2 linked regions of the Ovis aries genome follow. The protein of the gene in region 1 purifies or fractionates together with the protein of each later gene. This does not show direct contact. Links are inferred from orthologs where the notes say so. Each region holds a gene or a part of one and is shown in the gene's direction. Other genes may lie near its edges.

Region 1 (4,212 bases):
TTAACTGAATCTCTTGTGGTAATCATTTCATGATATGTGAATCAAGCCATTATGTTGTATGCCTTAAACTTATACATTGATGTATGTCAATTATTTCTCAGTAAAACTGGAAAAAAAAAAAAAAAAAAACTGTTGGGAAAATTTAAGGCGTGAAGTGTCCTGATGCCTGAAAGTAACTTTGAAATGTATCAAAAGATGCACTGTTGGGTGGATAGAGGCAAGGATAAATATCTGATAAAGCAAATACAGAAAAAAATGTTAATTGCAGCACCTAAGGGATGCATATATAGGTGTACACTGTATAGTTCTTCCAACTTTTCTGTATGTTTGAAATTTTTTGTAATAAAATCTGCGAGGGGAGATTTTTTTTAATTGAAAAAGAATTGCGAGCCATTATCGTAACTTCTGTTACAAGCTGTAACATACTTTATGAACGTGAGGTAGAGGTAATGAATTAATAATATAAAGTCCTAAAACAGTCCTTAGAATATTTAATACATATTATATATATATTATCAGTTTGCAACAGAGGAAGTGGACACAAATTGGAAGAGATAGGTGCCTCAGTGAATTTCTCTGAGGGCTTTCAGCCCAAAAGTGCTTTTACTTTTTTTCATTAAAGAATAAAGTTAGCAGATAAGTGTGTGTTTATACTTGGTTTTAAACTGATGAGAACTGGGCTCTAATTAAACTGATGAGAACTGGACTCTAAACTTCCCTGAATTTTTAAAGCTCTGATTGAGATATTGGCTCCTCTGTCTATGGGATTCTCCAGGCAAGAAAACTGGAGTGGGTTGCCATGCCCTCCTCCAGTGGATCTTCCTGACCTGGAGATCGACCCCTCATCCCTATGATCGACCCCTCACCACTCTCTCTCCTCCATTTGCAGGCGGGTTCTTTACCGCTAGTGCCACCTGGAAAGCCCAGGTTTCTGGATATTGTTGTTGTTCAGTCGCTCAGTTGTGTCCAACTCTTTGCGACCCCATGGGCTGCAGCACGCCGGGTTTCCCTGTCCATCGCCATCTCCCGGAGCTTGCTCAAACTCATGTCCATTGAGTCGGTGATGCCATCCAACTGTCTCATCCTTTGTGTCCTGCCCTTCTCCTCCTGACTTTAGTCTTTCTGAAGGCAGTATCAGGGTCTTTTCCAATGAGTCAGCTCTTTGCATCAGATGGCCAAAGTATTGGAGCTTCAGCTTCAGCATCAGTCCTTCCAATGAATACTGAGGATTGATTTCCTTTCTTCCCCAACACCTCACAGTTCAAAAGCATCAACCCTTGGACCGCGCTTTTCTCTTTCCTTTTACCAAAGTGAAAACTACACTTCCCATGAGCGCTCACAGGCGTCGACGTCGCGCAGTTCTTTGTCGTCGCACAGCGCCCTTTATACGCACTTCCGCCCGCTTGCCACTTCCTTTCCTTTCGGCGGCTCGCGTCGGCAAGATGGCCGTGCAAATTTCCAAAAAGAGGAAGGTGAGATCCCGGGGCCCGGTTGCAGGGAAGTGGCGTTTCGCGGGTCAGGAGCCTTTCTGGGTGCTATTGCGAGACTTATAGCTCTTCGCTATGCCCGGGGCAGCGGCCGGACTGTGTCGCTTTCCCGTGGGCTGCGGATGGCGGTGGATTGAGCGCAGGCCCGTGGCTGCTGAGAACGGTATGGCTGGGATAGGAGAGAAGGATTTCTGCCGGTTCCGGGCGGAGAGCAGAGATGAGCACTGAGGGCTCCTCCTGCCGTGGAGGAGCGCTTGTGAGCCTTTCTTAGTCAGTAGTTAGTAAAGTTACTAAATGTGATGTTTTGAATGCATGAGCCTTTCCCTCATCGAATGGTAGCTTTGAGAAAGGGAGGTAGCAGTGTTCGCTTGCCTTCTTCCTAGGCTTGTCTGGGTGCAGGCTTCTGACCCCAAGGACCTCAGTTTGGAAGGTTACTGACAATTTCTTGTTCTATCTTGGGGTCAAGGAAACGTTCTGGGGAAATAGAGGGAAGGGACCTGGGGGAAACGGTTTGATTATTTAAAACCCTTCAATGAAGAGGAGATGACGAGTCTGACTGGAGGTGTTCTCTTTGTCCAGGTGACCCCTACCCTGTGCCGCGTTCTGTGGCACAGTTTTAAGGGCCTGGGTCAAAGTTAACTTCCAAAAGATGACTTAGAGGCATTTGTCTGAGAAGGGTTGCTATGTTTTCTCTGGAACAAGGCAAAATAATTAATGATGGGTCGTTGGTTGGAGGTGTTGAATCTTGATTAGGGTTGCATTGACTGGGCTAGAAACCTGAGCCCATGTCCAGATCCTCATTTTCATTTTGCTTTTGGTTAGTTTGTCGCTGATGGCATCTTCAAAGCTGAACTGAACGAGTTTCTCACTCGGGAGCTGGCCGAAGATGGGTACTCTGGAGTTGAGGTCCGAGTTACACCAACCAGGACAGAGATCATCATCTTGGCCACCAGGTGAAAAATTCATTTTTCTGGCCATCACCTGTAATTGTTGTCTGCACTAAGGTGATTTCTTCTGTAAACGTAGCAGAACAACAGTTGAGTCATCGTGAATGAGTTTTTAAGCTGCATTTAAAAAAAAGATAATCTCTTAGTTCTTGTCATCCAAAATTTATGCTTTCTTGTGTCAGATGAATTAGATTTTTACTACCACACGTGTGCAAGGTTTAAAATTACATCTGTAATGTTATGAGAGCTGTGAATTGTCACTCTTCATTTTCCCCAGGACACAGAATGTACTTGGTGAGAAGGGCCGGCGGATCCGGGAATTGACTGCTGTGGTTCAGAAGAGATTCGGCTTCCCTGAAGGCAGTGTAGAGGTGAGTGATCCTGGCTTGTGCCAGAGGCTACTCTGGAGCTAGAAATGGCTCTTCAGGATGGTGCTGTGCTGTGCTTTGTCGCTCAGTCGTGTCCAACTCTTTGTGACCCCCATGGCCCCAAGGCTTCTCTGTCCATGGGGAGTCTTCCAGGCAAGAATTCTGGAGCTGGTTGCCATGCCCTCCTCCAGGGGATCTTCCCAACCAAGCGATTGAACCCAGGTCTCCCCACATTGCAGGCGGATTCTTTACCATCTGAGCCACCAGGGAAGCCCTCTTTAGGATGGTACTTCTGAAAACTCATATTATCACCCTGAAAGCTTACTTGTGATCAGTGAGTATTACAAATGGATTGGTATTTTGTTGAAGGTCTTTTAATAAGCAGTTGGCAGCAGTTTATACCTATCTTGGAATTAGTAATGATACATAGGAGAGGTTGGCTGCCCATTGATCTCCATGATTTGGCTGTGGAAAGAGGTGGGGGTGGGAGAAAAATGAGGAATGGTTCAGTTCAGTCTGCGTCCCTGAGTGTTTGTTAGATGTGGGCATTAGAAGTGCTTTAATACTTGGGTAGTACAGTGAAGGGCTTCCCAGGTGGCTTACTGGTAAGGAATCTGCGTGCCAATGTAGGAGACGCGGGTTCAGTCCCTGAGTCAGGAAGATCTGGAGGAGGGCATGGTAACCTTCACCAGTATTCTTGCCTGGAGAAGAAGAGGACCCTGGTGGGCTGTAGCCAATGGGGTTGCACACTCATCCACTAAATGAGAACAAATAGAGTGATACATAGAGGGGTGTCTGCTTGAATCATGAATGTGCTGATTTTTAGTTGAAAACGGTGGTGATGAGTGTAACAAGTTTAAGAATGTGCCTTGTTTTCTTTAAAGCTTTATGCTGAAAAGGTAGCCACAAGAGGACTGTGTGCCATTGCCCAGGCAGAGTCTCTGCGTTACAAGCTCCTAGGAGGCCTTGCTGTGCGGAGGTAAGAGTCCTTATGAATTGTGTCCTTTCGTGAATCAGTATATCAGCTATTTTGTTAATTTAGTAAGTGGACTCTGGACAGGCTCAGCTAGTCTCTGAGGGCTTTAACAATAAGACATTGTCAATCCATGTTGCAGCCTAGTTAGAAAGACTAGTAAAGACAAGTGTTTAAAAAAGCGAGTGGTGTTAGTAGAGCACGGTGGGAGTATGAATGTAGGATGGGGGTGGGGAATGGTTTGGGTTCATGTTGAAGTCATTCACATACATTGTGTGGTGGTAACTCTGGGGATTCAAGAGAGAAGACTCATTGCTGAGAAGAGAGCTTAAAATCTAGTCAGGTATGCCCAGTAGGTATTTATAGATAGTGATGTGAGGAACAGAGGACATGAGGTGGTTAGATTGGCCCCGGAGCTGGGCTTGCTGATAAGATTT
Region 2 (4,111 bases), on another chromosome or scaffold:
GGCGACATTAAATAGTCGGACACGACTAAGCTACTGAACTGACCTGAACTGTACACACATACTTGAAGTTAGTTTTTCTTAAGCTCTTCCTGATTTGCAACGGAGCCAGGTAATCTCCAGGCGTTTTGTTTTTGGTGGGGTTTGTCAGACAAAAGGACCAACTAGAAGACATACCTTTGAGGAAACTAAATTGAGAAGCAGAAAGCTTAAGGAAGGAGGAACTTGAGAGCAAGGAATCATGCATAAAGTGACCAGTGGCCAGGGTTTCTGGCTGGCGATGACAATGGCAATTAACTTGGTTCTTTGCTCATACTCAGGGCTCCTCTCTCATTTATTTGTAATAAGCATTACTTCCTCCACGTCTTCGTCGGACACAACTGAGCGACTGAACTGAGCCTCCAGGTCTTGGCCTTAGAAATGGGCGAGGAGAAGATAAGGCCGATCCAACTATAATAACTGCAGAAAAAAGACGCTCAGGCAATTTGGAGGTGGCAAGAGCGGCATGGTGACGGTAACCTGCTGCTGCTGCTAAGTCGCTTCAGTCGTGTCCGACTCTGTGTGACCCTATAGACGGCAGTCCACCAGGCTACCCCGTCCCTGGGATTCTCCAGGCAAGAACAATGGAGTGGGTGGCCATTTCCTTCTCCAATGCATGAAAGTGAAAGTGAAGTCGCTCAGTCGTGTCCGACTCTTAGCGACCCCATGGACTGCAGCCTACCATGCTCCTCCGTCCATGGGATTTTCCAGGCAAGAGTAGTGGAGTGGGTTGCCATTGAACTGCTGCTGCTACTGCTGCTAAGTCACTTCGGTCGTGTCCGACTCTGTGCGACCCCATAGACGGCAGCCCACCAGGCTCCCCCGTCCCTGGATTCTCCAGGCAAGAACACTGGAGTGGGTTGCCATTTCCTTCTCCAATGCACGAAAGTGAAAAGTGAAAGTGAAGTCGCTCAGTCGTGTCCGACTCTTCGCGACCCCAAGGACTGCAGCCCACCAGGCGCCTCCGCCCAAGGGATTTTCCAGGCAAGAGTACTGGAGTGGGGCGCCATTGATTTCTCCTGCCATTGACCTACACACCCGGAATCCCAGGATCGCGCGCACGCGCGCCCGCCCGAGAGCCCGCCCCCGCAGCTGGCCGGGTCCCGATCCGAGCTCCGGCAGGAGGCGGGGCGGCGGCGCGCGCTCGCGGGCGGGGTGGAACCGAAGGAGCCGACGTGCGACGTTGGCGCCGCTGCGGGCGGGTGACGTGTAGGCCCGCGCCTGCTCCGCCCCCTCCCTGCTTGCCGGGTCTGTGAGTCTGTGCCGCGGTCGAGCAGTCTTCGTGGACCCTGCCCCAGGACTGGGAGGGATCCGGCTAGGCCCGCGTGGGGTGCGGACGAGGACGCGGCGGGGAAGTTGTCCTCTGGCCTTCTCTGCCCTGCCCTCCGTCCCCCTCCCGGCGTGGGAAGTAAAGATCAAACCGAAAGGGAGGGAAGCCGGAGCTGGCGGAGTGATGGGGAGCGCTTGAAGCGGGGCCGAAGGTGAGGAGGGGGACGTGGGAGGAGAAGGGCAGCCTGCGGCCCGGGGAAGCCGGCGGGAGGCGGGGCCAAGGGCGCCCCAGGTGCGCTTGTCTGTCGGTACCGGAGGCGAGCCCGGACCTGTCATTCCTCTCTGGGCCTGAGACTTTTCCGTGGTCTACGATAGTCTCGTCCTGCTCATGAAATTTGTAGGGTGGGGGGTGGGGATCAAAACATGGACACAGCCACATGTTGCCAAGGGGTTAAGGCCACAAGGTGATGACCAGATGCGTGCTTTTTTCCCCTGTGCGTGAGTAGTTTGTTTTCATTAATTTTCTTTGTTTCTTTACAAAAATGTAATAACTTTCATTTTCTTCACGTGGACTTTGGAGAGAAATCAACTTCCCAGTATTTTTTACTTTAACACTGAACAGTAAATAAACTGGATAGGGAGTGGACCATGGTGAATTGTGGGTGAATTTAGCAATCGAGGAATCTAGAATGTTATTTTGAAGAAAGTTTGTTGTATGTGCGAGCATGCTGCGATGTCGTGGGTACGTGGGCAGTTTTTTTTATTTTAAATAGGCTTCTTATCACACACTAACTTGTTCACTGATTGCAGTGTGCTCATGTATTTTGCTCTTTGGTTTAAAAGAAACGTCATTTTAGCGGTAGCTAAAAGTTTAATACGAATGGCATCACATGTGCAGTTCAAACTAGTAATCATATTTTCTTTCTTTCACTAAGTAAAATTAGACTTTGAGTAGCTGTTATCTCCATCACCACATTTCATGTTTCATAGACTGAAATCATCTTTCCGACTTTTCAAAATGTTCTTAAAAAAAAAAAAAAGTTCTTAAAAGTTGAGGATTCAGCTTTTGATTCCAGTCTGGATTGTGCTCCTGTTCATATATCTTTTATTTTTAATGGTGGTTATAATAATATTCTTGCATAAGAAAAATGCTCCTTAGAGATGCCAGTTAAGTGTAAGCTAATATTAGAGTGACTTGGGGCTTCCCTGGTGGCTCAGGCGGTAAAGCATCTGCCTGCAATGTGAGAGACCTGGGTTCGATCCCTGCGTTGGGAAGATCCCCTGGAGAATGAAATGGCAACCCACTCCAGTACTCTTGCCTGGAAAATTCCATGGATGGAGGAGCCTGGTGGCCTGGTGGGCTACAGTCCATGGGGTGGCAAAGAGTCGGACACAACTAAGCAACTTCACTTTTTTCTTTCTTTAATTTTTCATGGCTTCTCATTGTGATCCCTGCTGTATAGTTTTAGTTTTCTTTCATTCATCATTCACTTATTTATGTCTTTCTATGTGCCAGGCACTATGCTAGGCCTAGGCAGTCAAGAGAGACAGGATGTCTGTACTTAGGAAACTTTGTAGAGTTCTGCCTCCTTCTAATAGAGAATCTTGATTAGGGTTCCTCCTCATGCCACGGATATCTAGTTGACAAAAGCAAGGCTTTTTGCAAGAAAAAGTTACTGTCAGTGTTTATATATAAAGTGGCATTGAAAAGAGGAGCAGATCATTTTACTTGAACAGCATGACTTGTTTTGTTTTTGATCAAAAAGATAATATGCATGCCTGTGTTTTGCTGGTTAAGAGGAGTAAGTTTTCTTTTGGACAAGTTGGCTTAGTTATATAATTAAGAATTAGAAGTCAGTTTCTACCTGAAAAATAATACATAAACATTAAAAATGTTTTTAAAATAATTTTTCCAGTTTCTATGTTGGTCTGTTGGTCTATGTCTTAATAACTTGTAATTCATTAGAGTAATTCATAGTAGTTCTATGCACAGAGCATTTTCATCAGAAATATGTATAATACTTGTTGGCTGAAGTGAATTTATTGTCCAATAATACCTTCCATGGGGAAGTAGTTAACATAAGCCCTTTTAGTACAGAATAGTCTCGAGGTGTTGTTTTTGTTCAGTCACTAAGTTGTTTACCATTCTTTTGTGACCCCGTGGACTGCAGCATGTCAGACTTCCCTGTCTTGATGTAATGTGGCACAGTTTTCAACTTTGAACAGATGTCTACCCGAAACTGAAATTTTAGCAAACACATTTATGGAAAGAAAAAGTACTTAATTACCAAGGAGGAGAGAATAAACTATTTGTGTTTGCTCAGTTGTGTTCTACTCTTTGTGACCCCCATGCAATGTTGTCTACCAGGCTCCTGTGTCCATGGAATTTTCTAGGCAAGAATACTGGAGTAGGTTGCCATTTCTTTCACCAGGGGATCTTCCCTACCCAGGGATTGAACCCGTGTCTTCTGTATTGGCAGGCAGATTCTCTACCATTGAGCTACCTGGGAGTATGTGTTTAATAATTATCCAAAGGCAGACTTTATGTGTCTTATCTCCTACATTATACTCTAAAGTTACTTAAAATAGTTACTTATTTCTTTTGCCTGGTGTAATATCTGGCACATGGTTGACAGACCCATGTAAATGTTCATTCATTCAGTATGTACCGTCTCATTTGAGTATTTTGTGGTTAGAGGAGCAAATGAATATTTTTGAGTGAGTTTGTCTACTGTTTGTTCATTTTCCTGCTTGTGCTGGCTTATAATAATGTCTTATAGACATTTATATTTCTGAAACTCTCTGT

What was found. The genes of interacting proteins can lie anywhere in the genome.
Region 2: the proteins of RPS3 (region 1) and ASCC3 purify together in Homo sapiens (co-immunoprecipitation; 4 studies listed by BioGRID and IntAct, with this or other methods). This does not show direct contact. The link is inferred for Ovis aries from reciprocal best matches to the Homo sapiens genes RPS3 and ASCC3.

The regions. Positions count from the first base shown.
Region 1 is NC_056068.1:53,317,465-53,321,676, forward strand, and holds the start of RPS3 (small ribosomal subunit protein uS3), read left to right. Parts: upstream 1-1,412; 5' UTR 1,413-1,442; coding exon 1,443-1,472; intron 1,473-2,014; exon of another isoform or gene 2,015-2,164; intron 2,165-2,309; coding exon 2,310-2,440; intron 2,441-2,711; coding exon 2,712-2,805; intron 2,806-3,686; coding exon 3,687-3,781; intron 3,782-4,212. UniProt on the Homo sapiens protein: Component of the small ribosomal subunit. The ribosome is a large ribonucleoprotein complex responsible for the synthesis of proteins in the cell. Has endonuclease activity and plays a role in repair of damaged DNA.
Region 2 is NC_056061.1:36,367,691-36,371,801, forward strand, and holds the start of ASCC3 (activating signal cointegrator 1 complex subunit 3), read left to right. Parts: upstream 1-1,311; 5' UTR 1,312-1,517; intron 1,518-4,111. UniProt on the Homo sapiens protein: ATPase involved both in DNA repair and rescue of stalled ribosomes. 3'-5' DNA helicase involved in repair of alkylated DNA: promotes DNA unwinding to generate single-stranded substrate needed for ALKBH3, enabling ALKBH3 to process alkylated N3-methylcytosine (3mC) within double-stranded regions.